Neodiprion lecontei: one gene and its partners. The protein of the gene in region 4 purifies or fractionates together with the protein of the main gene of each other region. This does not show direct contact. Links are inferred from orthologs where the notes say so. Each region holds a gene or a part of one and is shown on either strand. Other genes may lie near its edges. The genes, in order: RNA polymerase-associated protein CTR9 homolog, ATP-dependent RNA helicase DDX42, interleukin enhancer-binding factor 2 and RNA-binding protein cabeza.

Region 1 (8,691 bases), on a different chromosome or scaffold from region 4:
TTGCATGCAATATAAATTCTTCGACAGATCTGCCAGTTCGCACAATGGGTTTGCTCTGGGAGATAAATCGCATTGTCTATCGTTGTTCCTTTTTCATGGCGTGGCGGTAGAATTTATACATGTGTTTTCTAGCTCAGATTTGATTAGACTCATCTGTACCTGCGGCGATAATTCAAAGTTATACGAATATTCGAATTAATACTTGCCATTTGCTGAATTTGATGCAGCATTGTAATAGCTATTTATTATATTGTGAACGTCAAATATGTACTCGTTCCAAAGCGGTAAGCATAGATACGCGACAAGAAACCCGCTGCTTTACTAGGCTTGTAACAACGATGAGCTGTAACAATTCATTGATAGTAATTATTCATCTTTTAAGCTGCAAACTTCTCTGTGGTCCCATTCAAGTTTCAATTTTCGTCAAAACTTTTCACTAAATTTGTTTTTTGGATAGTAAGGTCTGTGATAAAAAAGGTTGTAAAAATAATAGGCAATCAAATGAATTCTTGTGTGTGATATTTTATTGATGGTTTCAAGGCGGGTAATTTTTTTTTCCACTGATACACAGAGTTTACAATAATTTCAATCCTGTATAGGTAAAATGTAACAGTTGTTAGATTTCTTTGTTGTTTCAACTCCTAAATTATCACAAATTTGTCGTTCTTAACGCTTCGATGATATTAAAACTCACATCATCGATGCTAATTCAATACGTTCTACTTACATAAATATATTTCTTTGCTTGCAAATTTGGCAACTCTGTTTTTCAGTAGCTAGCACGAAGGGTAACTCATTATCGTTAGTGTGAATGGTTCATTCCTTATTCGACTCACATACAATTACTCCTAGTTCCAATAGGCTTAGTATCAATTGAATAGTTTTGTCACTTTCTCGTTAATGTCATTCTCGCTACCTTCGAAATAGACACCATAGGTTTTGATCCTAAACCATTGGTTTTTATAATATTGCAAGAGTATTTTCAGTTTTTTTGTGCTAGCATGGTCTAGTTTATACAATTTGAAACTGAAGAGTACCCTTCGAATACCGATAAGACGTTGGCCAACTTGTGAATTGAGAATTAGTGAAAAAAATTATTTTTCTGATAATTAGGTTCAGGAAAAACTATAATAAAATTGGATATTGTATAGGTAGTTAAGGTAGTAATTATTAAATTAATGACAGTGAAATTGTCAGTTTTCAATTACTCACTACCGCTCTGTCCACCTCTTTGCGGACTCGAATGGCGAGAACCATCTTCGCTGCCAGATATCGATTTCCGAGACACAGGACTTGCGGATCTGTGAATATATTTCTCAATCAATAATAATAAGCAAGGGTTGTAAATCATCCAAGTCGGACTGGTGTAGAAATGAAGCATGAAAAGCATCAAAAATTCGAAGTATATTCGAAAATTGGAGTGGTAATCAAATATATAATTTTCTATCGTACCTTGCTGATCCGCTCGCACTTCTACTCCTGGAGCCACTTTTTGATCTCGATCTCGATCTTGATCCGGACCGTGACCTACTCCTACTCTTGGACTTGCTTTGGCCTGAGCCTGATCTTGATCGTGATCGTGACCTTGATCGCGATCTTGACCTTGATCCTGATTTCGATCTGGATCGTGATCTTGAACCAGATTTTGATCTTGATCTCGATCGTGAGCCGGATCCGGATCTGGATCTGGACCTAGAGTGACTTTTCCTCGAGCCACTGCTTCCTCTAGATCTGGATCGCGATCTCGAACCACTTTTTCTTGATCCGCTGTTAGATCTGGAGCGTGACCGTGATTGATTTCGCGACCTCGAGGCACTTTTGCGAGATGTAGATCTGGACCTAGATCCACTCCTGGATCGTGAACCGCTTCTTGAACGCGATCGGGATCCACTCTTTGAACGGCTGCTAGACTTTGACCTAGAACGAGATCTGGAACGTGAGGCACGAGAACCTTCGGACTCCGATGCGATTCTACGCCTTCCTCGCCCTGCGTTTTCTTCCCCGCTTTCGTTTCTGAAATATTAGCGAATTAAAATTAGACAATGGATCATCACAGGCATCTACAGTGAAATGAAAATACAGAATGATCACTCACCCGCTTGCCATGTTAGGCCTTTCATTATCGCTCTCAGATTCACTTGTCGAAATAGTTTCTTTAGAAACAATTCGCATTTTTTGTTTACTTGATAAATCAGCGGTGCCACTCTTGCGAAATCCTTTACCTTTGTTACTTCCTCCCGCTTTTCTGCCACGTTTAGTTTTCGGTCGATCACTTCCCGAACCTGTAGTTCATAAATGGGACCGATTTGTTAATGATTACAAAACATTCAAAACAGGATTTAAGCAGCCAATGAAAATATCAATTTATATTACTGATGTTCAAACTTACCTCCACTTTCTCCGCTGTTAGCATGCCTTTTCCTTCTTCCCTTTCCTGACGATTTCCGTTCCTTTCTCTCACCGCTGCTCTTTCTCTTGCGTTTTTTTTCTCTGGGAGCTGAATCTTCGGTACGTTCATTTCTATCTGAGCCACTATCGCTTAGATATTGTTCAGACCTTACTTTCCTACCCTTCTTTGTAGGCTTTTCTGATGGCATGTCACCAAATAGTAAAACATTTTTCGTTTTCTCCACATACTCTTGTCGTTTTTGTAACATGGCTTCTGATTTCTGGCGACGCATATCTTCCACCTTTTTCTGTTCTTCCGTCTGGCGTATTCTGAAGGCTTGTCTGTAAAAAAAAAAAAAAAAAAAAAAAAAATGAAAATGAAAATGAAACATTGAAAACAAATCGATTCACAGCATATTTCCATGTAGAAATTTTCGGCGCTTATTTATTTGAAAATTAACAGGAATGCTTATCCAATTGTTACCTTTCTTCCTCCTGCTTTTTTCGGAGGATTTTTTCCTCCTCATCCAGCCTTCGTGCTCGAGCAACGTGGTATTGCGCTTGCGACAGCAAATCCTGACATTTTCTTGCCTCAATTTCAGCAAGTTGATCCATTTTCTCACCCTGCATACCCAGGAATTGAAAATATTTGTGGGATAATCCTAATTCATGTACAGCTTGCAATACAATAACCAACGTCGATTTTTCATCCTTCAAAATTTGCGTCGCCAATCTTTGTAGGACCAGAGCAATATTGTACAACAGTAATGTGTCTTGGGGAGCTACTCTGCGAGCCTGGAATTTCGAGTAAATATCAGACGCGTCAGCGACGGAAATGAATAGAAAGAGTCATGTGTGACATTGCTGTTCCTATACCTTTAACAAAGTCATTTTAGCTTCCCTCAGTTTTCCAGCTTTGAAATAAGCTCTGCCCAAGTATTGAAGAACCTCTACGTGATGATACTTGTAGAATTTACGCAAGCAGTTTTCATACTGAAATAAAAATTAGTTTCAAAGCATGGTGAATAGATAAAACGATATTCGTTAATTCGTAATACCAACCATCTGAATAGCACTGACGAATTGTTTTTGCTCCACGTAAATGTGAGCAATGTTCAACCAGACATCGCAAAATTCAGCTGTTGCTTCTCTGACTTGGGCAAATATATCTCTGGCCTCGTTGACGCAACCTTTGTGAGCAAGTACAGCTCCTATACCGTTTGCGGCCCAAATATTTCTTGGATCATTTCTTAATACCTGAGAAATTCGATCATATCTTTTGAGTATAGCTTCGATCCACAAGGCTTTTCACGGTCATTAAAAGGGGTGATACTCACTTGCTTGAACATGGCCAAGGCTCTGTCCTGGTGCCGTTTTTCTCTGTCCTTGTCTTTCCCGCTTTGATGAAGAGTCTGCAGCCAAATATTACCCAAGGCAATAAGCGAGTAGGCATCTGTGCTGGTCGTTGGACTTTTCAGGATCCGTTCAAATTTTTTTTGTCCCGGTCCCCACTCCATTTTAGCCAAATGTAAGTTTCCCAAGAGTGACCAGGCGTCCGGATGCTCGTTATTTATCCTCAAGGCATCTTTGAACCAATCCGAAGCTTCGTAAATTTGACCCTTATCTCTGGCCATGCAGCCTAACCGCAAGTAGCAGTCCACATAATTCGGGTGTTCTTTTAAAATGTCTTTGTACAGTTTTTCTGCCCGGTCAAATACGCACAATGCTTCGTTTAGGCGAGCCAAATTATACGTCGTAGTGACTGCAATGGAATTGTAATAAACAGGATCTTGTTCAGCGTCAGTTTTCGACCTGGCCAAAGACTCCTCCAGGTTGTTTCTTGCCTCTTCTAAATTTCCAAGTCTAGTAAAACAGAAATTCTTTACTTCTGCAAACTCAGTTACAAAGGAGAATATACAATTCAGCTTCGACCTACCTGTAATGAAGAGCACCGACGTTATTAAGGATTTCAGGTGGAATATCAGCCTGAACTTTGTCTTTAAGAATTCTGGTGGCTGTAGCATAAGCATTCAATGCAGCCGTTAGATCGCTTTGCTCCAAAATCTGAGCCAATTCGATCCACGCTTCGACATCGTCGGGAAATTGCTCCGTTACTTTTCTCAGATGACTTTTGGCTATGTCTCTTTTCGACTGGGAGCTTGAGTTGGCGTACAAAGAGCCAAGAATTTTCATTGTTTCGTAATTGCCGGACTGGGCTTTCAGAACTTTTTCAAAACATTGCGCTGCCTGGAGGGAAATGAATTTGATAGAACACACGAACAAGTTCTTAGGTATACAAGTAACCTCTTGTCGGAACAATTGCGTTGTCTTACATTCTCGGCATCTCCACGATAGACGTACATTTGACCAAGGCCAAAATGAGGCAGGACGAAAACCGGGGGAGCGAATTGAGTCGCCTGATAATAGTATTGAAAGGCTTGGTCGTAATCTCCCTGAAAATATTGCGTTTAACGTGTAGTAAAGCGGCAGCACCGTTCAGAAAAGACTAAAACCGTTACCGCCGAGGTAGGTATTTACCTGGACGTGAAAGGCTCTGGCGAGTTGATAGCAGCTCTCAGCACGCATAGCCTCGTTTTCGGTATTATGAAAAGCGTGCAGAGCCAAATGTTGTACTTTGTTGTAATCTTTCTTGAAGAAGAAATGATTCGCCAAATGGTTCAGAACCATCGGATTTGTCGAGTCTATCGTGTAGGCCTTGGACAACATTTGAACACCCGTTCTGATGCTGTCCGGCTGCTGCTGATTCAATTTAAGTACCGACAGGCCGACCAGAGCTCCGACGCATTGCGCGTCCAACTGCAAAGCTCTCTCAAACGCCATTTTGGCTTTGTCCTGGTTACCCAGTTTCATAAAACAATGTCCCATTCCGAGTCTGACCGCCGCCGGGCAATTGGGATTCGTCCTGAGTGCCTTTTTGTAAAATGCCAAAGCTCCGCGATAGTCTTTCTTGTTAAAAGCTATACACGCCTTCCCCAAGAGCGACGGAATGTTGTTAGGCGATTGGTTCAGAACGAAGTTAAACTGTGCATCTGCCTGTTCCATTTTGTCCCCTTCGAGGAGGCAGAAATAGGCTCGACCGAGGAGATGATTCTGTAGGAATAATAAAACAAAATTAATCCTTGCCTGCTTCTGTCACGTTTCTACCTCAAGGTGGATCCAAAACTTACCTGGTCGTACATGATAATTTTGTCCGCCGTAGTGTAGAGCAACGTTGCCTTGGTGAAGAGATCTCTCTTCTTGTCCTTGTTCTTCTCGCGATTCGCCTCCTGGACGTAGTACGCGGCCAGCATGTCCAGTGCTCGCATCTGGTCTTTTTCATAATCCCTGTAGTCGATGTTTGCGTCGATCCTCGACGACTCCAGAATCTTAATAAAATCCTCGATCTTCTGTTGTTTGTAATACTCGAGCTGTGCGTAAAGAAATATCAGTCGGTTAATATTTATACGTCTAATTGGTAAACGGTGACACGCCTAATGTAGGGCCTAAATCAAAGCAGAACTCTCACCGCCAGGTTGACCCAGATGCTGAGCTGGGCATGTTCCTGCCGCAAAATACCGAGAACCTCATCGCCGTCGGGTAATTGATCCAGGTACAATTCGATTACCTAGTTGCGGAAAGAGGAGTTATTCATCCGTATTGCGAATTGGGAAGCGTGGATTTGTAAGTTGCCTCGATAGTAAATGATACACAACGAGTGCGTCGGTTTTCTCAGGAGAAGCCCCGCTCGTCTAGGTTATGTTGGGTGTGTTTGACACGCAGTCGGCTCGTTTACGAACAAGATACGCGGGCCTCGAACTTGGTTGATGAGAAATCGAAACCAGCTTAATTGGTCGTAAAATAAGGTAGATATTATGAAAATTTACCTCGTCCGTATCACGAAGAGGTATCTCGATGCTCGCCATCGCTTCGGCCTTTAGCGCTCGCCACGGTCTCGCTACGATCGCTACTGAAGCGAATTGAATAGTGAGACGAGCGAGACATCGTTGCCGTGAATGAAATCGGCGCTTGCGCGAAACGTGACACGGTGTACTTTTCAATCGCGTTATTACTTTCCGCACGTTTTCTTTTCAAAAAGAATTTATCGTATACACCGTGAATTTCTTTCTGTTGGAATTTATTTATTTAAAACGGTATTTCGAGTCTTGCAGTTGGATTATACAAAATTTACAAGATATACCACACTATTCAGGATGTGTATAATCAGTTTTTGCTGGTTTCATTTTTTTTTTTTTTTTTCTACAGTCCTTGAAGTATTATATTTATTTCAAATTGAATCCACATTAATTTAAACACAAATGATACTTTCCTATTTATATAATCATACGTTATAATAGGGTTACATAAATTACAGTTTGAAGATAACCATTTTTTGTTTTTTTTTCGTATGTACACAAATTTCAACACAATTGTTAATCAAAGAATTACAACTTATTAATTACTGCAAGACGTGAAATTGAATCTTGAAAATCACGATAAATAATATTAATAATCGTAACGAATGTAGATAAAAAAAATTTCCTGTGCCGTGTATGGATTTCATTCGTTTTGTTTTCTTGTGCGTCTTGTTGTGAAATCGAATTTAAAATGATCATTGACATTTGGCACATTTTTTTTACTACTTTAATTACGAAGTTTTGTTATATTTTGGTTAAAAACGTCTTTTTCCGTTTCGTTATAGCTTTGCATTTTTCATTTTATATTTCTATAAAGTGGCATTAACGTTTCAATTATCTAAATGCTACTCTAAACGTATGCAGTATTGTATCGTAATAATTAAATATTTATATCAATTACGGATCGATCATACATCGACAACATTATACCTAATATAATTAGCGCCTGAATTTCTTATTATCATTGTATAATCATTATTGTAAATACAAATGTTAAGTCTGTTGCTTTCGGGTGATGATTGTGATGTTTTTATTCTTTGCGTCGACGTGTATATGATAATTAATGTGTGCGCGTGAAGTTTTGCGTTTGAATAATGGATTTCGAATTAACTATACGCACAGTACGGTGGTAAAATTGTCTCATCATGTCAATGGATAATTATTAGCATGCCGCACCACCACCGTTCGTCGTTACCGTCTGAAACAAAATATTACGCAGTCATACGAATGAAATTTAAGGGAATATTCTTTTTCCAAAACCAGTTCCCGCACCTTTAGATTCACCTGACTGCCATAAAACGAAGTAAAGGCCGTGTCCGAGCTGACGCTCAAAGGAAGACTCGTGGCGTCGATGATGGCTTCTCGTTCGCTGCTCAGCGTCGAGGCGCGTAAATCGAGGGTACCGCTGACAGCCGACATTCCTGAACTCGTTGCCATTTCAACTTCACCAACGTCGGGATGTGACATGTGTCTTAAAATAATGTCGCTTTAATCGATCGTTGTAAAATATTAGCCAAGTAAACACGGAGGGGTGGACGCGCGCCACAGATTCCATGCTTTAAACACACCTGCTAAATCGACAAGCTTGAAAATCGACGTCAACTATAGGTTTAAAGCATAAAATCCGTATAGCGAATTTTACTAGCTCGTACCTGTAGTCCGGGGCCGGCTGCTCGACTTGCTGTCTTCTTGAACTTGACGAAATCGGTGTCCGTTGAATCGCGTAAATATATATGCCGCTCATCGTCAAGGTGTAAGAAACGAAGTAGAGCGTATGAAACTGGAAAAGTAACGGTGTGAGTACGAATCGACCGAAAGCACGTTTGATAAGGGACCGTTCAACTATCAGCCGACGTATTTTTTTGCAAATTTTTGTATTTCCTACCAAGTGATAACTTGTTTTGCCCAGCCACTGTTTTTCATCGTTAGCTAACGCGTTTTCAAAAGTTTATTGGCCAGCGTTATTATTTGTGTTAGCGTTGGCTGATACTTGAACGGCCCCTAAGATACCGTGATAAAAAAATAAGAAAAACACCTTGTACTGGTTCGTCAACATCCCGAATAGAATGTTGAAGAAATCCGCAGTCAGGAGTGCGAGCTGAAGCGCAGTTGCTCCTGATTCGAAAAGGATCACAGGTACAAGAGAGTAAAACACGAACTGAGTGATGCAGTAGAGGATGAGGAACGTTATTACAGGAGCGTTGTCCCAGCAGAATGATTCCAGTTGTAGCCGCTCGAGAACGCCCCTGATTTAATTATAACAAAGACAAGTCGCTTCGCTGGATTGCAGTGTTCAATGTTAAAATGTCGGTAATCACTTACACTTGCATGCAGCTGATGATCGTGCCGAAAAATCCTATCATTCCCAGGTACTCTATGATGTCAACGG
Region 2 (7,304 bases), on a different chromosome or scaffold from region 4:
TTCGGACCACATAGACTGAAATGAAAAAAAAAAAAACTCCAACACCGACTACAGAGATGTACCTATAAGTGTATGCTTAACAAGGGCACGTCCCGAGAATGCCGCTGCGGTTGCTCACGCCGATCTTCCGACGACCTCAGCACTTTGTACCAATTAGCATCGGCTAAACCGAGCTTTGTGTTTACTTGTATGGCACGATCAATCGTTATACCAGAGTTTAAATTACGCAAGGCTCGATTCCTGAGCCCGTTTCAATACCCATTTGAAGTGAAAACGACGATTTGCGATCGGAGAGAGAGAAAAAAAAATGTTACTAAACAGGTTCTTTTTTTCCAATCGTTCAAAGTGAATCATATCCATTTTGGCACAAATTACTCAACTGCGCGCACAGTACGAGCGAATTACTCAAAGGTCGTTCTTCAACGTGGAGAGATATTTATCGAACAAGTATTTAGCGCAAAGCAGCATTGATTAGCTGCAAACTTGGTTAACAATATGAAAAAAGAAATTTATTAGAAATATTTGACCGAGGAAATTCGAACATGGGTATAAAGTAGCGCGTTTCTTTCATTTTTCATTTTCATTTCTTGGGTATACGAAACGGAATACATAATATCATATTCTCTGCATACAGTATGTATTGTAGATCGATAAAGCAAATATTCATTACGTTTTCGTAACGATTATACATATATTAATTTTTTTATAATTTTTTGCGAGGAGTTAACCGCTGATGACCTTATTCTTTCTATACATTGCCACAAAAGTTCACAGGAGATGTTGAGATAAAGATTAGAACAAGTATAGTTAGACAGTTGTTGCTCCGTAATTGGACAGTAGTTGACTCCTCGGTTAGACATTTTTTTTTTTTATGATTGCAGTTTTATATTAAAAATAGAGATAAATCTAAACGACTCATTATTGTATCGGAAATAATATGATGTACTAGATAACTAGTAATCTGCGATTAGCACTATATGTTACAATACAAGCAGTATAAATTTGACCATTGAGAAGTACATCTTGCCTAATTCTATTGTTTCTCTGGCAAATACATAAATATTGCGGATCACAGCGGAGCCCTAAATCATCTTATAGCGGATCGCATTTGTATCTTGAGTGTAAATTGATCATGCTAGGAGTTTTGGGTGAATGCGAAACAAGCTAAAAGACCATTTACTGGATGCTGTGAACCCTTTCCTATAAATCTGATCGTTGTTGGAAATAGAAAATTATGTAACTCGTGCAGAGGACAAACTAATGTAAAAGATGTATGATCGTTGAATCAACTTTATCTTTCGTATATCAATAAATATGATTAAACAGGAACCTAAGGATCAAATTGGCACACGACTCGCACAGAATTGGTAAAATGAGGATTTATTTTCATTATAATAATATAAAACAAAACAGGCTTTGCAGTCGGTGTATTTGCGATGATAGAATAATCGTAGATTTGGGCTCACTGATATGGCTTGGCAGCAATTTTAATCCGACTCACTCCCATCGACTCTTTCTGACCCTCCGCCTCTCTCCCGTTGCCGCAGAGTTAGAATTCTGATATTCCTGGCCCTCCGACTGCTCGCTGAGACCGGCGGCTGACGTAGGAGGTGAAGAAGAGGGTAGCATTGGCGGAGGCGGGGGCATCACGACAGATGCTGGCTGAATCGTTTGCTCCCACGTGTGATCCGAAGACGCACGGAACTATAACAAAAAACAAACAAATAATTAAATAATTTTCGAACGGTTCGGCAGGTGGCAGCGATTACAATATAAGATCATACCTGAGTGTTGTACTGGCTTTTGAAGGCAGCTTTCATCGCCGAGAGTCGATCGCTTCCCGGTCCATGTCTCTCCAATTTTTTGACTACTTCGCTGATGTCCTTCGATGCCGGATTCGAGGATCCGCCACTCTGTAGAATTGAAGATGAATTAACGGTGTACAAACGTGTACTTACAATTACGTGTTTGCAACAAACCTGTCCACTGTTTGTTCCATCGGACACTCGACCTCTGAACCCGAGTCCTGCACCACCGACGTTCAAGCTTTTGCCTTTTCCACCTTTAAATCTCGATTTTCGGAACCAGGCACTTTGCAAGGCCAGATCGAGCAGACCTTTCGGTACATCTTGATTCGCTCCCTCTAAATTTCTCACTAAATGACCAGCGAATTCTTTATCTTTGTCAGTGACCAGAGTGAACGCTGTTCCCTTTTCTCCTGCTCGACCTGTCCTTCCTATCCTGTGTGTGTGCGTGTCTATGTCGCGCGCCACATCGTAATTCAGTACCGTTTTTATGTGAGGGATATCCAAGCCACGAGCTGAAGTTAAGAGTATTGCGATAAATATACCATATAGAAAAACTTCAGACCACACGTCTGCTTTGTTCTCATAAAAGGTATCTCGACGTAAAAAATCAGGGGGAATTGCAAAATCAGTTGAGAGATTTCTTTGAATAGTAAATTTCAATATCGTTATTTCTGTCACAGATGTAGCTTACCTGCGACATCGGTAGCGACAAGTATACTTATTTCTTGTTTCTTGAAAGCAGTGATAACTTTGTTTCGTTCGATCTGGTCCATATCACCGTGCAACAGGAGAACATCGAATTCCTTCAATTTTAGATTGTTCGAGACCTCCTCAGCGTTTAGCTAAGATCAAAAATTGAAAAACGCTCAAAGATCGTAGCCTGTGTTTATTTGCCGTAACTGATTCTCGTTGGTTTATTATAATATTCCGCACCTTTTTAGTTACAAATATGAGTAGACTACCAGCGCTGAGAAATTCAACAATGTTATGCAGTAGCCAAGACCATTTGGCAGCAGGATTACTGTTGAACATGACAACGTGTTGCGTCACGTCTGTGTTAGCTTCTCCTACATCTCCTTGAACAATCCTTATAGGATCCGTGAGCACGTCACGCGCCAGTTTTTCAACCCTCTTCTTAAAAGTCGCACTGAACAGTAGCGTTTGTCTGTCTGGTCTGACATGGTTGCAAATCGACCTTACCTGTGGTTCTGAACATTGTATGTGATAAAAATGAGTTTGTTTGTACAGAACAGTAATGACTTTTGATGTTTCAATGTAAAGGATATCGCCTGGCTGCTCACTCACCAAAACCCATGTCAAACATTCTGTCAGCTTCGTCAAGCACGAGAAACGAAACTCTGGCCAAATTGGTAGCCTTCATCTTGACCAAATCGATCATTCGACCAGGAGTAGCAACGACTATTTCCGCACCTCCTTCCAAGGCTTTGCTTTGCTCCCATTTACTGCCACCTCCGTAGCAACAGCATACTTGTATGTTATATACCTTGCCAAATTTCTTAGCCTCTTGGTATATCTGCAAGAAGATAATTTTCCAGGTAATTATTAAAGTTTATAATTTGTCATTTTCTACAACTGACGGTAAATTATCGTTGCTACAAATTTTACCTGCTGTGATAATTCTCTGGTTGGCGCTAATATCAGACCGATTGGCCCATCGCCTGGCTTTAGTTCTTGCTGATCCATAATGTGCACCAACATCGGCCAAATAAACGCCGCTGTTTTTCCACTACCAGTTTTAGCAATTCCTATCAAATCCCGGCCACTCAGAGCAGCAGGTATTGCTTGTGCCTGAATGGGAGTCGGCTGAGTATACTCGTTTTTTCTAATCGACTTTATCAAAGCATCGTCGAATCCGAAATGTGCAAAGCTGGTGACTGGATTGGGCGCAGAAGGACCGGTCACTTTGATTCCCAAGGTCTGCCGTAAGTCCTCGACTTGCTGCTTGTTTAAATTTGCAATCTCCTCGTGTACATTATAGAAATTCTTTTCAAATGGTTCGTAGTTTATTTCACTGTGATCAATCGGAGGCAAGGGATCAATGTCCTTCTTTTTTGGTGGTGGTATTGGGTTCCCATCTTCGTCATACTCAATCTCCTGATCCGAGTCATCTTGCTGAAGCCCTGCTGTAGGGTTTTCTTCCATATATCTGAAAAACGAAATGCAGTCATTTTTATCACACCACTTTGAACTTTCTTGTGATTGTTTACAATATGGAATTTTTAGCGAATGGAAGACGTCGTATGCTTTTTTATAAATAAAATATTACTTGTAGTAACTCTCCTCGTCGTCTTCATCATCGATGTCAGTTCTGATTCCCTTGGATTTGTCTTCCATTCTCATCTCTTCAGCCAGCTCAGCTTCGAATGTATTCTTTTTAACTTCAGCGTCGATTCCAGCCATAAACGCGTCGAGTGGATCCTCGTCACTGTCACTTTCCTGTTTTCGATTGTCTTTCTTCATAAGTTCGTAGGTCGGAGAACCCGGCGCAGGGATATATTCCAATGAGGAAGTCGGCGCATCGTCATCATCCTCAAAATATCTGATTATGTAAATTGATTTTATAATCGACTTACTTTTTAAACTAAATCCTATCTGGGAAACTTCAATAATAATAGTAACTACCAACTGAACAACACTTACTCTTCCTCAGTTTTGCTTCGCTTTTTAGGTATCCCCCAGTTTGCAGATAGAGCGTTCTCGGTTATAGAATTCATTGTATGATAGCCTTGTTTGCTGAGAGTTGAGTTGTTCGGGGGTGGCGGAATGTTGACGCCGCTTCTCTTGGTTCCAGCCATCTGAAATCCAGCGAAGCCAAAGCCCTTTGGCTTGTTACCACCTCCCCGGTGGTAACTCATTTTTCAGTGCTATCATAAAATCGTTGTAAATACAAAGTCAACTTCAACTTGGTGTACGGTAAATATTTCAGGAAAGGATACCAAATAGCAAAACTGTATACTCAGCCCGGTTAGGTTAAGTACAAGGTTTACTCTACGAATGAAGCAAGAATGTAATTTCCCGCTATTCGACTAAGGGTGCCCATATAATTAATTGAAATTCTGTGGTACTTTACTCACATTAATCTGGCGATATTCGAATAAAATTACGATCACTGTTACATTTAACAATGGTAAGGTGGTCGATGGCACCGGACACTGGACGACCGAATTAACCTCTTTGCGAACGAGTGAATCTCGATGAATCTACAGACCGCCTGCAGCAGCACTGGTATAGAATAAAAATGTCCGAAATCACGCTACGAGCAGATAACAAAGTTCTCTTTCTCTCTTTCTAATAACGCATGCGCAATACGCCATCGCAGCTGACTATATTTAGACTTGGGGGCAATAGCAGTTTCACGTATTATCAACCAAATAACTAACCACATCGGTAAATGAAGTTCTTCATAACCAACAACTATCTATATTTTACAAAGGCGAGAAAATACGTAGATAAAAATGGGAAAGTAAAAACTGCACGCGAGTATGCGTACATGTATAAGTACGACTTGAAATAGCGATTGAAATGAAACTGTAGTAAGCGCGAGGTAATACTTTGATTTGAATCGTTACATCGCTACTTTGTCGGAACACGTAGTTATAATCTGTTATTCCGCATCGAAGGAAATTGAAATGAATATAGTTACACTTTGCACTGTAGTACATAACAAGAAGATAACCCGAGAATTTCTTTGCACGGATTTATAAAAGTTTGACTATTGCATTAAACGTATCGCCTGCCTCTTTTGGAAAGCAATCCTTGGGGATCACCCTTACCATATAAAAAGATCTTTTTTGGAATATTTAGTGTTACAAGTACGCGTGATAGAATTTTATTATTGTTAATTGAAAAGTGTGTCAACCCAAAAAGTACAGATACGTGGCTTTGGAATTTGGTATAGATGTCAAGAATAAGTAAACGATTGGTTGCAAAATCATCCGAAAACTTGGAGTCTTCTGTACCCCATGATCCATTGCTTATCTTTAAGAAAAATTATCAACGTTAGATATTACCACTGATATGTGGGAAACGTGTTTTTGTTTGCGGAATTATACGAAAAATATGAAAAACATCGAAAGCCTGCACTCTAAATATTACCCAAACCTCGATTCCAACTGATGCAATTTAAAATTCGAAAAATCTCCAAAGACTCCAGGAGTTTAGATGTGTAAATTCGTGATCTTGGAAACGGGTGAAGCAACACAGTTAACAGCAAATCGATCGTGTTATTCAACTCGATGCAATCAGTTTCAGAATTTTAGAATTTTTTTTCCCTTGACGTCATCGATCTATATAGACGAAAATCAGTTAGCCGAATTCCTCAGTCTGGTAACAACCGCGCAGTAGAGAGGACGTATGAGAATCGCGCTCCGCAGATTTCGAGTTCCGGGTTCTCTACCTCCTGGATCCTGCGCTCCGGGTCCGCTTCCTGATGCAACGCGAGTTCCAGGACAAGCGCTCCGTGGTCCCTGCGCTCCAGGTCCACTACCTGGTGAAACTCGACTTCCAGGACAACCGCTCCGTAGTTTCTGCGCTCAAGGTCCATTACCTGGTGAAACTCGACTTCAGGAACAAGCGCTCCGTACTTCCTGCGCTCCAGGTCCGCTACCTGGTGAAACTCGACTTCCAAGACAAGCGCTCCGTGGTTCTAGTGGTCCAGGTCCTTGACCTGGTAACGTTCGACCTTCAGGACTAATTTTCCGTAGATTTGGCTGTTGAGATCCTCCACCTGATGTTACTCGACTTCAGGACTAATTTTCCGTAGTTCTATCTGTCCAGGTCCTCCACCTGATGGATCTTGACATCCAGGAGAAGCGCTCCGTAGTTCTGGCTGTCCCGGTCCTTGACCTGGTAACGTTCGACCTTCAGGACTAATTTTCCGTAATTCTGGTTAAACCTGTCATGTTCACAATAAATTATTTCAATTCATTTTTCGTGCAAGCCCAAATTCATTAGCTATCAATGCGCTAGTAAAATTCCAATAATTTTTCATAATTTTCTCATAAACTTCTGGGTAAAATGTGACCTTAAAAAAATTACATTAATCCTTACACAATATTTTTGATGAGATCTAATACTTGTAATATTTATTAGTATTCGAGGTATAACCCGAGGTGGTCAGCGGTGGTCGTTGGTGGTGGTTGGAGGTAGTCGAGCTGGACGAGGAGAACAAGGTGGACAAGGAGGATGAGGATTTGTGCTCGGTGAGTTTAACATTTTTATAATATTTGATGAAGAAGGATCAGTATCAGGAGTAGGAATAGGAGTAGGATCAGAAGGAGGAGTAGGAGTAAGATCAGGAATAGAATCAGGAGTAGGAGTAGGAGTATGAGTAGGATCAGAAGTGGGATCGGGAGTAGAAGTAGGAGTAGGAATAGGATCAGGAGTAGGATTAGCAGTAGGATCAGGAGTAGGAGTAGGAGTAGGATCAGAGAAAGATGTAGAAATAGGAGTAGAAGTAGGAGTAGAAGTAGGAGA
Region 3 (5,330 bases), on a different chromosome or scaffold from region 4:
CCATTGGCGTCACAAATGCCGACTTCAATATTGTCCGCGGTCATTTGCCCCTCAAATCCTTCCTTCAAAGTCAGAATAGCGGTATGAACGGCGTCGTCGAGCTCCAGATCTTCGCTGTATCTCTTCTCCAGGAATGTTTTACCGTTGATGTGATTCTTTCCCATCGCGGTTGCCTTCCAGGCGTAATAAGCACCCGACGGATCGCACTGGAACAGGTACGGCTTGTCGTTGTCCCAGCCGCAGATCAGCAGAGAAACACCGAACGGACGTACACCTCTGCACAGACATTATTTAATCAGTTCCAAAATGTGACTATGCATGTGTTACGTACTCCGCACTATTTCACAGTTCTATTTCACTCATACATCGACTTTCATCCCTCCTACCTAATAGTCGCTCCATTTTGCCAAACAATACAAGCCTTGCACACCCTGTACACACCCGATTACCGCTTCTTATTCCCGGAACCTTGATCCTACACACCCCGCTTTTTGCACACACCCATACTTTGTTTTATTCATTTCTCGATGCAATCCTGGTCCGTCTTTCATACGATATTCTGACTTTACCTTTCGAATCGGACACATGTTCGATAAATCATAAGGCATATTCCAACATCAGCACACCAGACTCGTTCATTTAAATCCCTCACCTAAACTTTCCGGTTGTTCTTAATCATAAAAGTGAAGCGGAACCTCGTCTATTCTGTGCTACTCGAAAATAGATAACGCGTAAATCATTACACGTGGTTCCTTTTAAATCTTTGTGAAGCAATTTTCTTCGACTTGTCTTATGCCCTTCGATTGACAAATGTCAAACAATGAATCTATTATGGAAATTTCCAACGAGAACCATTTTACGACAAACTCTTTCAGATTTCAACAATTCTTTCCATAAATATACTTTTCTCACACATCTGCTTGCTAAAACCTTGTATCTAAATTTGGTAATGTCTACTTTTCATGGTTTATAACGTTGATACCAAACATCAAGTCAAAAACAGCATATAAAATTCATTCAAAACCGTTTAAATTGCATGAGGTCATAGTAAATATCAGCTGGAAATTATAGTCAAGTTTCGGCTAATTATATGAAATCATGAAAACTCTGATCTTACCCTGACTGCGTGTACTCCTGCATGAGCATCGCTACTCGTTGAACGAGTTGCGCAGTTGGAATTGGTTCCTGGTACACTAGCAAGTACTGCTGGGCGATTTTGCGAGCTTGCTTCACAAGTAGACGATAGTCAGGCCCCATTCCACTATATATCATCCCAATATGCTTGGTAACCATTTCAACCTTGTTAACACTGTGTTCGTCATAGAGTATCGATTTGTGCTTGTTTTCAGTGGCAAGAACAACTCCGTTGGATGCCTTGATGCCAACCGAAGGCGCCCCAGCTGATACTGCAGCCAATGCATACTCGATCTGCACCAGCTTGCCCGACGGGCTGTAAGTATAAAATAAAAATGTAAAATTTTGAAATGATGGTGAAGAATAATGAGGTTTTATAGTCGACGCAATCAAATTTGAGCCTTAAACGATGTAGAGTAACAATGACAGGACAAAAAGTGGAGATTCTTTGATCAAAACATGGGATGCAATAAAGCTCACTCCAAGTTTCCATGGAGATTGAGACAGAAATTTGAAACAAGTTTGATATTGCTTAGGTGAGAATAAAGTTTCAGACTCGTTTGACACGAAACTTTTTCGATTCTTGACGTGGTTTTTAGGTTAGGACCGAGTTGACGGACTTTCAAACTGCTGGCTAAGATAAAATTTTGAATATTTTTCCAGAAACGGTTAGACTGATTGATTGAAGGTCGCAAGAATACAGGAAATACGTTAAATTCCCTGTTCTTACCTGAACGTAGTCAGCGAAAAACTGTACCGCTCCGAAGCCATGATTACCTTGCAACAATACACTAACCTGAAGCTCGAACGGCTGAAACTGGAGAGTTTCGACTTTCAAGTTAACGATCTCGAACGTAGAATCCAAGATGGCGACACGAATCGCGGCACACTCGCGCTCTCGCGCCTCTCGCGGTTGACTTCAGATGAAACGCCATCAGGATCGTTAAACCGGCTAAGCACGGCTAAGCACACGCTGAGGACTAAGGTCGGCTATTGCTCAAATAAATTATCCAGGGTAAGTTATTATTGAATAAATACCGCGATAAATACTCGATTAGAAGAATAAATAACAGCTCATCTCACTCCGAGTAACGAAATACCGGAATACGATTTGTTTTCAGGGTGATCCTGGATCTTCCAGCAATGTAAGTCTGCTATGCTTGGTTAGGTTCTTCGTTCAATGTTCATTCGCACCTTAGAGCATATACTACTGGAGGTAGCTTTGCGTGTACAGAAAGTCTAGCCGAGGAGTGAGTGAGAGAGAAAACGAGAGGTATATTTTCGTTATAATTGGTTTCTCTCTCGCTCAACACGCGATTGGCCAATACGTAGTCCAAACATTACCCTGATTAGAATCGTGCGAGCTCTGAACGATTGTGAAATTAAACCTTAAAAGAGCACATCAGCACATTTCTTTTATTTCATCTATCTCTCGTATTGCCGTCAAGCATCAATCGAGCCAGAAATCACGTCCCACCAATTTTTAATATCTTGTGAACTATGCATCGACTCCAGAAATGATTAAACGATGCATTCGATTTGTTCTGACATTGCAGGCTTAATATGGTTCGAGGTGCTCGCGGCGGCATGATAAGAGGTGGTCGAGGAGGAATGGGGCGTGGAATGGGATTTCCTAGGAAACAGTTCCTGCCCAGACATCCCTTTGATTACACCCTTTGCGAGGCTGCGTTTCCTCGTGTCAAGGCAGCTGCGGATGAGGCTGACTTTACTACGGCACTTCTGAAGAAAAATTCAGATATGTGTCCGACAGCGAAAGAGCAGAATTCCATCTTGAACCTCGTTACGAAGCTACAAGGAGTTCTGGATAATCTAATCGTTGCACCTGGAACCTTCGAAGCTTGTGTGGGTATACAGCAAATTTAAAATGGCTGTAAATACAGTTAAAGCTATGTTTTTCTTTTTTTTTTCGAGTGAAACGAAAATGAGAAGGAACATTGATGGATTCGTTTCATTTACAGCAACTCGAGGAAGTCAGACAAGTGGGGAGCTTCAAAAAAGGGACAATGATCAAGGGTCACAATGTAGCAGACATCGTTGTTATCCTCAAAACATTACCTACAAAAACAGCGGTTGAAGCGCTGGGCACGAAAGTAAACACAGACTTGAAGGCGGGCAATCCTAAAGAGGCGTTTAAGCTGACTCAAACGGAACGTGGATTTGATCTTTCAACTAATGAGGCCACTGTTCGTGTCCTCATCACTACTTTGCATCAAAACTTACGTAAATTGGAATCTGAGCAGCATCTTGACGTTAAAATCTGCCAAGGTATTTACCGACATTGTGTTGCACCCGGATCGTTTGACTTTTTGATAAAATTTCACAAGAAAAAATTCAGATAGTTACCAAAGCTTAAAAACCTATTCAAGTTTTATTTTCAATTCGCAAAATAGTATCAACCTTGTTTCAACATGTTTCAATTTTTTTTTTTTTTTTACAGGGCACCTAGCAGCTATCAGACACTCTCGATGGTTCGAAGAAAATGCCCATCACTCGAGTATCAAAGTACTGATCAGATTGCTGAGAGACTTGAGGACCAGATTCGAGGGTTTCGAACCCCTGTCACCATGGATGCTAGATCTTCTGGCACATAATGCAATCATGAATAATCCCAGCAGACAAGCACTGCCGATAAATCAAGCCTACAAGCGAGTGCTCCAGCTCCTCGCTTCAGGGTTATTTTTGCCTGGGTCAGCCGGTGAGTTGTTTCTAATCGACAAAATGTTGACCGCAACGACTGAAAGTTAAATTTTAACTGATTATTTTATCTCAAGGAATTTCCGATCCCTGCGAGGGTGGAAACATCCGTGTACACACCGCTATGACGTTGGAACAACAGGACCAAGTGTGTCTAACGGCACAAACATTGCTACGAGTTTTGGCGCACGGTGGTTACAGGCCATTGCTCGAAGGCGGTAATAAATTAGCGGTAGAAATGAGTGTATGGGCTGGCGGTGTGGTTGCCAGTCCTTTGGACAAGGCATACGAACCTCCAACGGAGCAGGAACAGCAGGAAGAAATGGAAGAAGGAAATGAAGAAATGGTGACTCAAGACACATAAGAAATATTTTAATGAAATTAACAAACTCAGCTTGTTCCAGATTGTTATAAGGCGTGTTTGTATCTCTGTCTGTACATTTGATACAATTTCACGTGAGATTTGGAACGACTCTATACATGGTATAACGCTGGATTTATTGAAAATCATATAATTACGAATTTGTACACGGATCGGTATCAATAGAGCGGGGATGGGTAAAGAGAAATCGTCCATTTTCAGACTCGATAATGAATTTTTTCAATGTATATTCTTTCATTTTTGTCGGCAACCCGTGACGTACACATTACATGTATGTCTATGTTTGTCGTTGCCGATCGATCGTAAAAAAAATTGATCCTGCTTAAAACATAGATGATGATTCATTATTTTTCAGTTTAAATCACCAAATATCTTATTTTGACAAACATTTGATATACAATGCGATTAATATTGTAATTACTTATATACGGATACATTCATAAATGGCTAGCTTAATATTAATATAATTCCTATGAATAATAATATTATTATTATTATATTAGTAGAACGTCTCGTGTGCGTGTATGTGCAGTCTTCGTATGAATTTTGAAGTACGTTTTCTTACTCGTCAACGATAAATGATGAGTAATTGTATCACGGTAATAGGTCAAATCAACAACGTCACTTCGAGAATGCGACGAAGTTCTTTTGATCAATAAATATTCGGTCTTTATACATACGAGCCCGCCGCGTAAGTGGTCTAACTAACTAAACCTCTATTTTATTCTATATACACAAAAAGAATCGGCGAGTGAAATTCAACCATTGAAAAGTGCAGCCTCAAGCTACAAAACAGTTTGACCAACTTTCTTGGAAAATCGTTAGACTAAATTTCTGAGGAAGTTGACGATCATCATTGCTTTGAATTGGAGACTCGCCTAAGATTCAATGTACTGGTCTAAAAAACACTTTAAAATAAAATAAGTGATATTTCATCTTTCCAGATACGATGCGGATCGCTCGTCGTGCGAAAATATTACAAAACAAGACCTCAAACTTCCTTCGATCACTTGCAAGGACTGTTTTCTGGCGTCATACTCACGTGGGCACAGCTCACCTGCTTATTACCAGGCGGCACTTGAACCCGGAACAATTTTCC
Region 4 (8,581 bases):
TCCCGGACCTGTGAGTTATTTCATTTCGTTATATTTACATGTTTCCGTTAAAGAAACTCATTTTATTGTTGCCCCAAAACTGTCTGATATCCGTTTCTTAATGTTACAGCTCCCAGAGCAGTATCGTTACGTAAATCAGGCACCGCAGCGAAAGCACAAGAATAAGCACAAAAAGCATAAACATAAGCCTGGCGAAACTCTGAGCGGTCAAGAGGCTACTACCACTGATATAGGGGGACCTGATCCCCATGAAAAGAAGCATAAGAAACAAAGGAAGCATGACGAGGAGAAAGAGAGAAAGAAACGGAAGAAAGAGAAAAAACGAAAAAAACAAAAACACAGCCCTGAACATCCCGGAGGTCTCACACCCTCGCAGCATTCCAATACGTGATCTCCATTCTTTCCATTTTTATTCATCTAATCGATTATACATACCCGTGTGGTTCGTACACAAAGTGAAACGAGACGACGAGTTTAATTCATTTATTCAGAAATCATAGAACTGCCCATGTGCCTTGCTCAATTCAACGCAACGTAAGAAATTTAAGCTTTTTCTTAACTAAAGAATATCCCATGTTATTTTTAAACTGCAGCCAATACATGTTAATGTATTGTCGTGCATGCATCAGTTACTGTATAGGCGAAATAAAACCTCATGGCAATTACAGTAATTTTAGATAGGATGTTTATTGGTGAACTCGGCCTGTCTATCACTCTGTTTACTCACACCATTTTAGTCCTGTAATCGGCCAAAGTGTATCCAGGAATTCACGCAGTTCTGTGAAACCTAATTTCATCGTCTCAGTTTCGATAAAAGGCTGTGTGTCCAGTAGTATAGTCTAATGTCTATATAGATTGTTTTGACTATTGAATACTAAACAAAAGAAAAACTCGGTTATGAAAAAAGATTGTTTGTATTCATGACAATTTGTCAATGCCACCAGTTGTTGGAATACCGATACTAGGAATTGAAAATCTATGTGGAACCGTTTCGAATATGTTGATTGGCCACAAGAGGTACTTTGCTAATCATCGATATTTGAGCGAAGTTTCTTGTGCAAACAATTGTTACTTACTACTCTTATAATTTGATATTAAACAAGAGAAAAGTCAATCAGATGAATGATGTGTTCACAAAACAACTAGCTAATTATAAAAGAATGAATTGATTAAGAATATTTATGCCAAGTAGTAAAATAAACGCAAAATTTATTATTCACCAAATTTCAAACGGAAACCAATATTTCATTTAATGTATGGTATAACTAATTTGTAGATTGATCGAAACATGAATTATCCTATGATATTTGTACATATTACCTACAATATAACAAATCCTGTAACATTTAAACCGAATATTTGAATAATTTAACATCTAACAATAAGAAGCAATACCAAAAAATTTAAAGAAGCCTACTGAAAATGAGACTTTTGAAATTTATTTTATCAATATCGCAGGCAAGTATATCAAAATATGTCTGCACTCACTTGCAGTTAGTCAACGCTTGGAAAACCAACGGAATCCCAAGTGTGTGATCAAACTGGAGCAAAATCAATGAAAATCATTAAAAGCTCACCGTTTTAATCCGAAAACTTGAAAGAGAAATACCAAATGCGCAAGATTATCGTGCCGTTGATTATTTCATTTTTTGTACATTCGATCTATTTTTAATTTATTTAACACATTATTGCAACAATTGTATTTTATCATATGTGTTTTATCGTTCCGCGCGTATTTGGTATTGATACCTAATTATCTTTCAAATAAAGTAAGGATAGTTTTCGTACGAAAAGCGTTTTACCCCGAGAACCCTCTCCGCCTGATGCAAGGCTACATAGTCCAGAACTGGAGAGTTAGCGGAAGAGTGAGAGCGAAAGGTATATGTGTCCTTTCGCTCTAGACTCGATTGGCCGATACGTTACCACTCGACCAATCAAATGCAGAGTGAGAGAGACGGAGTAACCCTAATATATATAAATCTTGCTCTTTCATCACTTTGGCTCCATTTTTCGCCAGTTCAATGGATGGGTAGAGCATGGAGACTAGAGTAGTAAGTATGGAGCGTGTACGTTTACGATACAATAAGTGTAACTGTGTGACTAACACATTCAATTTCATCAATCAACGCAGTATGAATCAGCGCCACGTCGATTATTTTATGTACCCTCATTTGCATCCAGAGTTTGACCATGTTTTGAACGCACCGCCATTAGAGAATGCGGTTCTTCCATAAGTACGCTCCATAGCTCTAAGTTGAGAATTACGAGTGACTGTGGTGGTAGACGTCGGCCATCGCCGTGGGTATAACTCGCGTAACTCGTAGGTATAACTTCACGATATCGCCGGTAGTCCCCAAGTTGCCGAGCCGTTCCCGCCATTACGTGTTCTCACACCCAGACGTTGCGTGTACTTTTGCGTGTGCGGTGTGCCTTGAGCAATTATAGCGTCGCTATTCGCATTTGTGAAGGACGCCACTGGGCACGATGACCGATAATCGTAAGTATTATATATTAGTTGTATAGCCGAACTTGTTTGTAGATAATATTATAGACCGTCCCTTACCGGATCGTCGTAATAATTGTGCATACGAGTTAGTAATGGATCAGCGTCTTGTCGGGCGTTTTTACTAACAGTCGTCCATGCTATTTTTCGTCGTCTTGACTTTGCCACGCCACTAATTTTATCGTATTAAACCTGATGATACCTAATTGTAGACGGTAATACTAAGTTTCTTTGCTTTCGCTCGATATCATGATTTTTCTTTCCTACCCAAGGCACGTAGTTAAGTCATAACATTAGATTTTCTTTTCGAAAATGTGATTTTGCTGCCTGATCAATAATCAACTACGAATCACGCGTTTCGTGCTTACGAGTTGCTGATTGTAACATGGAGTCTTATCATTCGTGATGTTGACATGATTTATCATAAATTTCATACTTTCCAAAAACACACCTTAGTGTGGCTTCAACTAAGTTGAAATGGGATCGTGTATCTCAGTTCATTAAGCTTCTCTTAATTTACGAAATTTTATTACTATCACTGTTTGTACAATACGTAAATATGAACTCCATGTTCAAGAATTTAACTGTCCTTCCATGCTACCATGGCCACCATTCGGATAAAACTCTGTTATTTCTCATAAGTCACGTAATGGATATTCAATGAATCGCATTAAATCTTACTTTTGTCAAACAAACAGTTGGATTGTATTTCATAAGTTCACTGCTTCGTCATTACGATTCTATGTGGGAATAAGAAGGGACTTGAAAATTTGTAGTTGAATTTCGATTTGTTATTATCTTTGGCAGAATACAGCGCCTACCAGCAGCAGGGTTATGGCCAGTATACCCAACCTCCACCTTCTGGAGGGCAAGATACATCATATCCTCCACCTTCAGGCGGCAGTACCAACTACAGCCAGTATAGTCAACCACCGCCGAGTAGCAACACTTATGGAAATTATAGCAACTATAACCAAACTAGCGGAACTGATTATACTCAAGCCCCAAGCCAAGGAGGCTACAGTCAAAACAGCTATGGGGGTGGAAATTCCGGATCTGGTGGTGGCAGTAATTATAGCTCTGGCTATAACCAGGGAGGAGGAGGTGGAGGAGGAGGAGGTACTGGAGTAAGCGGAGGAGGTAGCAGTGGTTACAATAGAGGTGGAAGTGGAGGCGGTTACGGAGGAGGTGAGAAACTGAATTTGACTTATAGAACCCAAAACCTCATTGATGATTTCGGTCCAAATAGACTTTGTTGGATACGAGTTGTGTTTATTATTAAATTCAGTCTCGTGTATGCAGCTTGGAATCTGAATATATTATTGCGAAAAATGATGTACAGGTCAAGGAGGAGGCAGTGGAGGTGGAAGTGGAGGTGGAGGTGGCGGAGGTAGATTTGGTGGAGATCGCGGTGGATATGGGGACCGCTCAAGCAGTGGTGGAGGGGGAGGATACAAGTAAGTTTCTGAATTAAAATTGTTTCGTTATCAAGGGAAGAAATATTTGAAAAGAGCTGATTGTAAGCCACCCTGAAAGTAATTTTACGCATATATCTACATATATATACGATATATACACACATTCATCAAAGGAAAATGAAAACAGAAGAAATTAAGAATATATGGAAAAAATAAAAAAAATTGTCGAAACTGTATGGTAAAGGTAATACAATTGAAAGGTTCTATTACACGACTATTAATAGTACTGTTAGCAGTATTACTATGTACAGTAACGTTGATTGTAACGAACAATGAATGCTTTATATCCATTGGTCTTATGCCCAATTGGGCGTTAATGTGTTTGAAGTGTGTCTACAGGTTTAACACACAGGTTTAACTGGTATAAAGGTAACTGCAGGTTGTATATGACAAATGACGAAATGAGGTCGATTATGTATGTTTCGTAAAAGTATCCCGGCATTCATGTTCACTATATAAATGCCACTGTGTTTCTGCATCATCGTGAAACGGTTGTAAAGGTTTTTTTTAAGAAATGTGAAAATATGCAGCAGGCGCGTGTCATTGACGTAAATGACACAATGCAGCTATTTAGAACTACCAAACTTGACCTGACACTTTTTTAAAGGGCATCTGTAAGAGATTACATCCACTATATGTATTATCAGGGTCTCTGGTAAACTCAATTTTTCAATTTTAACAACGAGTTACTGTGGCGTTTGTAAATGTGCGTGTGATATTTTCTTCTTTTATAAAAACGTGACTGAACAAATCTAACGCTTTTTCTCCTAGTCCCGTGTACAAGACATTAGCTTGCATTACACAAGTGTGTAATGAAGTATAATCCAACGAAAAACAATAACTAAACATTTGGTATGAAAAACTTTGAAATCTTGTTCGAAATTGTATTAGCCTGGGATGCCAGAGAGCCTTATCATATGTAGTCGATATTCGTGCAAAAGATATATATTATTTTAAGCATACAACACGCGAATTTTTATGTACCGTAAATTTCAATATACTTCAATCCATTTTGAATGGCTCGATAAGAGCTATTTCACTTTTTGTTTGGTGAATCTTTGCAGATGTATCTATTTTCAGCATAAATAATAATTTACTTTTGTGCATAATTGCATTCCCAATGTAATCTAGTAGTAGGTAACGAAAACAAAGATATTCGTCAATTTCAACACTACAAGAATTATCGTACCTGCCGATTTACAAAATAAATAGTGTCACGCGAGAAAGCAAGTTCAATCTTGTCCGTGTATTTGGGGCATGGTTAAAAAATGTGCTGATTAATTGTATACGATGCTTAGGGACAGATTGAGGTTTACTTCAAACTGACTATTTTTAACTACAAAGCAATGTTTATTTTATGTAATCTCTTACTATGCTTAACTATATCAACGTATTGTGACGTTCGATTTTTGAGTTCAAAAATAGTTGGTGTACCTTGAATTTATTCATCTTACATTGCTATTTATCACACGAAAGTATATGTTTACATATTTCCTAAAAAGTGACAAGAAAAAAACTGCCAAACCCAAACTGACCGACATGACTTGTTTGTGTATTGTGATAGTTGAAGAAATAATCTAGACTTCAAGGACATTTAGACAGTAGGTGCATCAAGAAGAAAGAGCAGTGGCGACCAGCATTTGAATCGCCATGCAACAATCGATCGATCAGTCTCTGTCCATGAGTCGACTCATTGGTATATCTGCTTCTGTGTTTTAGCAGTGGCGGTGGCCGTGGTGGTTATAACAAAGGTAAATGCACCAGGCTGCCTGTACTAGCCTGGTGCTATTCACGCATTCACTCTAATTACTTAAAACTTAAATACTTGGTTACTTTGTAAAATATGAAAGGGCTGCCATGCAACAGTTTCAGACTCCGGATACAATGATATGCGTACGTTTAATTATGGAGGGTATTTAGAGATATTAAGTAGCTGTGGATACGTTGAGAAACAAGGAAGTTCAAAACTATCAGTACTAATTTGTACTGTCTCTTTTTTTGTTTTCTATGTCATCGGAATCACCATTCAACTTATACCGATAATAATTATAATCTGCTGACATCTGTCATGACAACCTATCCATATTGCAATGCGTTAAAGATAATATGCGATGCAATTTCTCTCATCATTTGAGGTGTTCATAAATTATTATTGTGATACGTTTATGGTTCGGTTGATTCAATGCGCTAAAATTTGAATCAATTATCAATTATCCATGTGCGTGTGGCTAGGGATGAATGAAAAATGAACCAGAACAGCCTCCAATTTGAGTTGCGAAGTGCTTTGTTATAAGCAGTTCTTTAAATCATAAGTATAACTGTGCTAAGTACTAATCAGCATACGTATTCACTTTATCTTACTCCTTATTGAGTGAAACTTTAATTTTTTTTTTGTTTTTTGTTCCAATTCTTCCAAATAATGGTTTATTATAATTAATTTTAATCCAGAATATTTTCCTCATGGTAAATCAGACAATAATACAATGCAAAAGTCTGAACAACGAGCGTTTACTTGATAATTGTATGTCAACTGGTGAAGTCATTAGCCATAACAAACTAGCGATTGATAATATGACTATGATGCCTCGCTAAAATGAATTGATTGATTTATTCACCGAATTCAGGGATGTTAAAAGGGTTGAAATAATGTTGCAGCCCTTTTGTATGAAGATCTGCAACCTTGTGTTAATATTTGTACTTTATTGAGTATTGTCATTCATGCTAGATTATTGCGTGATTGTAAATGAAATTTTGACGTCGTATTTAGAGGCGTGAATTAAAAAAAATTTTGATATCAGCTTGTAAAGTGTGGTGAATTACGTTTGTCTTTAATATCTATGGTATAGGTATTTGAAGCAAAGCTTCTCAGGTCTTCATTTACAATGTGTAAGAAGCAGTTTGCGGTTAATAATGTATTGGTATTGAATTCATATATTACCAATGCAGTGTTCTTTGGAGTAATTTTAAATAATATACGTCATTTTAAAATACCTCGATGTATCAGGTGATAAACAAAATATGCTTGTGCATTTTATGAGATGCAAGATCTTCACCTGAATATAATTTACAAATATACTTAAGGAGGTGGACATGATTTTTTCTATTTATCAATTGTAGGGTCAGTTCTTTGGATAAGATATTTAAAAACTGGCGCTAAATTACCAATTCGTAATGGGTTGTCGACCACTAATTAGATTAGCTAATAACTCAAATATGTATAAATTATATGGTATGCTCAAATTATTAGATGGGAACAAGTATCAACTGTTGAAACAACATGGATGTGTTAGGTAATAAGTAAGAGTAATGTGAGAATAGAAATGGAAAATATTGGGGTTTGACATTGTGTACAAATTGAAAAATAGCATTTTCAAATTTACAAGTGTATTTTCCCCCGTGACAACTGTTTGCTCTCGTAAGATCAATAGTACTACACAACAGTGCTACATGACAGATACTACTCATTATAAATAAATCAAAGCTGGTTTAGTTTTCTTCCTATTTTTTCATCGGGCAAACTGTTTTCAATGTCATATTAAGGCAATAGACAGTGAAACAGCATTTTATTCGTACAAGTTTCATCCTAGGCTTGCAGTTTGAATTAGCTTACTAGAACTAGGGATTGGAATAGGGGTAGTTGATGCGTTGACAATTCAGTTAGGGTTTTTGGGTTTGAAGATCAGTGACTAATATTGGATGTGTTGCAGGGGGCTATGGTGATCGCGGCAGTGGCGGCGAAGGGATGGTTGTTCAAGAAGATACAATATTTGTTTCTGGGATGGATCCTACCGTGACGGAAGACGAAATATGCGAACACTTTGGTGCGATCGGAATTATCAAGGTACGTTTAGAATTCGCACCTAATTTGATAATGTAGGTAATCTATTTTATCATTCGCTTGAAACATTAGATATATAATACCATTATTGATTAATCTTTGAATTTGTAATTGACCTTTTTGTAGAACGATAAACGAACTGGGAAGCCAAAGATATGGATGTATAAAGACAAAAATACAGGTAAACCAAAGGGTGAAGCAACGGTGACATACGATGATCAGAACGCGGCTCGCTCAGCAATAGATTGGTTTGATGGCAAAGAGTTCAAGGGTTTTACCATAAAGGTGCAAATCGCACAGCACAAAAGTAATTGGCAAGGTGGTCGTGGAGGAGGTGGCGGAGGTATGGGCGGCGGTGGAGGTCGAGGAGGAGGTCGAGGCCGTGGAGGTGGTTTTGGTAGCCGCGGAGGAGGAGGTGATAGGGACGACCATTCGCGTGGAGGTGGTGATGATCGACGTGATGGTGGCGGCCGGGGAGGAGATTGGAGGTATGCCAATTGTGAAAAAAAGAAAAATCAAAAAACGAATACAGGGAATTCCTGGGAATTACTTGCAGTTCTCGGAAATTTCGTAAAATATAGTTCTTGATGCGATTTCTGTATTGTTCGACTATCACTAATAATTGAAACTAGCCGTTGATTTTTTTATTGCTCGCTTGAATACTAAATTTCTTAAATTTTTGTCTTACTTGCCGCACTCGCTCTATTTTCAATATGTATTTGTAGAGATAATAATGATAGGATTAATAACAATGCGAATACG

What was found.
Region 1: the proteins of RNA-binding protein cabeza (region 4) and RNA polymerase-associated protein CTR9 homolog purify together in Homo sapiens (affinity purification with mass spectrometry; 3 studies listed by BioGRID and IntAct, with this or other methods). This does not show direct contact. The link is inferred for Neodiprion lecontei from reciprocal best matches to the Homo sapiens genes FUS and CTR9.
Region 2: the proteins of RNA-binding protein cabeza (region 4) and ATP-dependent RNA helicase DDX42 purify together in Homo sapiens (affinity purification with mass spectrometry; 3 studies listed by BioGRID and IntAct, with this or other methods). This does not show direct contact. The link is inferred for Neodiprion lecontei from reciprocal best matches to the Homo sapiens genes FUS and DDX42.
Region 3: the proteins of RNA-binding protein cabeza (region 4) and interleukin enhancer-binding factor 2 purify together in Homo sapiens (affinity purification with mass spectrometry; 3 studies listed by BioGRID and IntAct, with this or other methods). This does not show direct contact. The link is inferred for Neodiprion lecontei from reciprocal best matches to the Homo sapiens genes FUS and ILF2.

What each region holds. Positions count from the first base shown.
Region 1 is NC_060266.1:25,828,595-25,837,285, reverse strand, and holds RNA polymerase-associated protein CTR9 homolog, read right to left. Parts: upstream 6,386-8,691; 5' UTR 6,312-6,385; coding exon 6,273-6,311; intron 6,014-6,272; coding exon 5,915-6,013; intron 5,817-5,914; coding exon 5,577-5,816; intron 5,500-5,576; coding exon 4,927-5,499; intron 4,842-4,926; coding exon 4,722-4,841; intron 4,636-4,721; coding exon 4,325-4,635; intron 4,252-4,324; coding exon 3,726-4,251; intron 3,646-3,725; coding exon 3,451-3,645; intron 3,382-3,450; coding exon 3,265-3,381; intron 3,184-3,264; coding exon 2,873-3,183; intron 2,731-2,872; coding exon 2,390-2,730; intron 2,283-2,389; coding exon 2,096-2,282; intron 2,014-2,095; coding exon 1,453-2,013; intron 1,302-1,452; coding exon 1,205-1,301; 3' UTR 503-1,204; downstream 1-502. Other genes in the region: solute carrier family 35 member F2-like, read right to left, coding at 7,465-7,500, 7,575-7,773, 7,955-8,082, 8,338-8,548, 8,625-8,691. UniProt on the Homo sapiens protein: Component of the PAF1 complex (PAF1C) which has multiple functions during transcription by RNA polymerase II and is implicated in regulation of development and maintenance of embryonic stem cell pluripotency.
Region 2 is NC_060261.1:42,757,964-42,765,267, forward strand, and holds ATP-dependent RNA helicase DDX42, read right to left. Parts: upstream 5,072-7,304; 5' UTR 4,904-5,071; intron 4,694-4,903; 5' UTR 4,685-4,693; coding exon 4,470-4,684; intron 4,369-4,469; coding exon 4,096-4,368; intron 3,976-4,095; coding exon 3,435-3,975; intron 3,343-3,434; coding exon 3,114-3,342; intron 3,017-3,113; coding exon 2,742-3,016; intron 2,651-2,741; coding exon 2,500-2,650; intron 2,321-2,499; coding exon 1,980-2,320; intron 1,914-1,979; coding exon 1,785-1,913; intron 1,705-1,784; coding exon 1,498-1,704; 3' UTR 876-1,497; downstream 1-875. UniProt on the Homo sapiens protein: ATP-dependent RNA helicase that binds to partially double-stranded RNAs (dsRNAs) in order to unwind RNA secondary structures. Unwinding is promoted in the presence of single-strand binding proteins.
Region 3 is NC_060265.1:26,831,058-26,836,387, forward strand, and holds interleukin enhancer-binding factor 2, read left to right. Parts: upstream 1-2,031; 5' UTR 2,032-2,149; intron 2,150-2,255; 5' UTR 2,256-2,277; coding exon 2,278-2,279; intron 2,280-2,390; exon of another isoform or gene 2,391-2,407; intron 2,408-2,690; coding exon 2,691-2,997; intron 2,998-3,113; coding exon 3,114-3,420; intron 3,421-3,592; coding exon 3,593-3,850; intron 3,851-3,926; coding exon 3,927-4,213; 3' UTR 4,214-4,528; downstream 4,529-5,330. Other genes in the region: proteasome subunit alpha type-2, read right to left, coding at 1-276, 1,118-1,450, 1,865-1,905; uncharacterized protein LOC107218898, read right to left, coding at 5,238-5,330. UniProt on the Homo sapiens protein: Chromatin-interacting protein that forms a stable heterodimer with interleukin enhancer-binding factor 3/ILF3 and plays a role in several biological processes including transcription, innate immunity or cell growth.
Region 4 is NC_060263.1:2,144,579-2,153,159, reverse strand, and holds the start of RNA-binding protein cabeza, read left to right. Parts: upstream 1-2,198; 5' UTR 2,199-2,484; coding exon 2,485-2,497; intron 2,498-3,310; coding exon 3,311-3,691; intron 3,692-3,845; coding exon 3,846-3,960; intron 3,961-5,700; coding exon 5,701-5,732; intron 5,733-7,688; coding exon 7,689-7,822; intron 7,823-7,945; coding exon 7,946-8,307; intron 8,308-8,581. Other genes in the region: mediator of RNA polymerase II transcription subunit 19, read left to right, coding at 1-10, 110-391. UniProt on the Homo sapiens protein: DNA/RNA-binding protein that plays a role in various cellular processes such as transcription regulation, RNA splicing, RNA transport, DNA repair and damage response. Binds to ssRNA containing the consensus sequence 5'-AGGUAA-3'.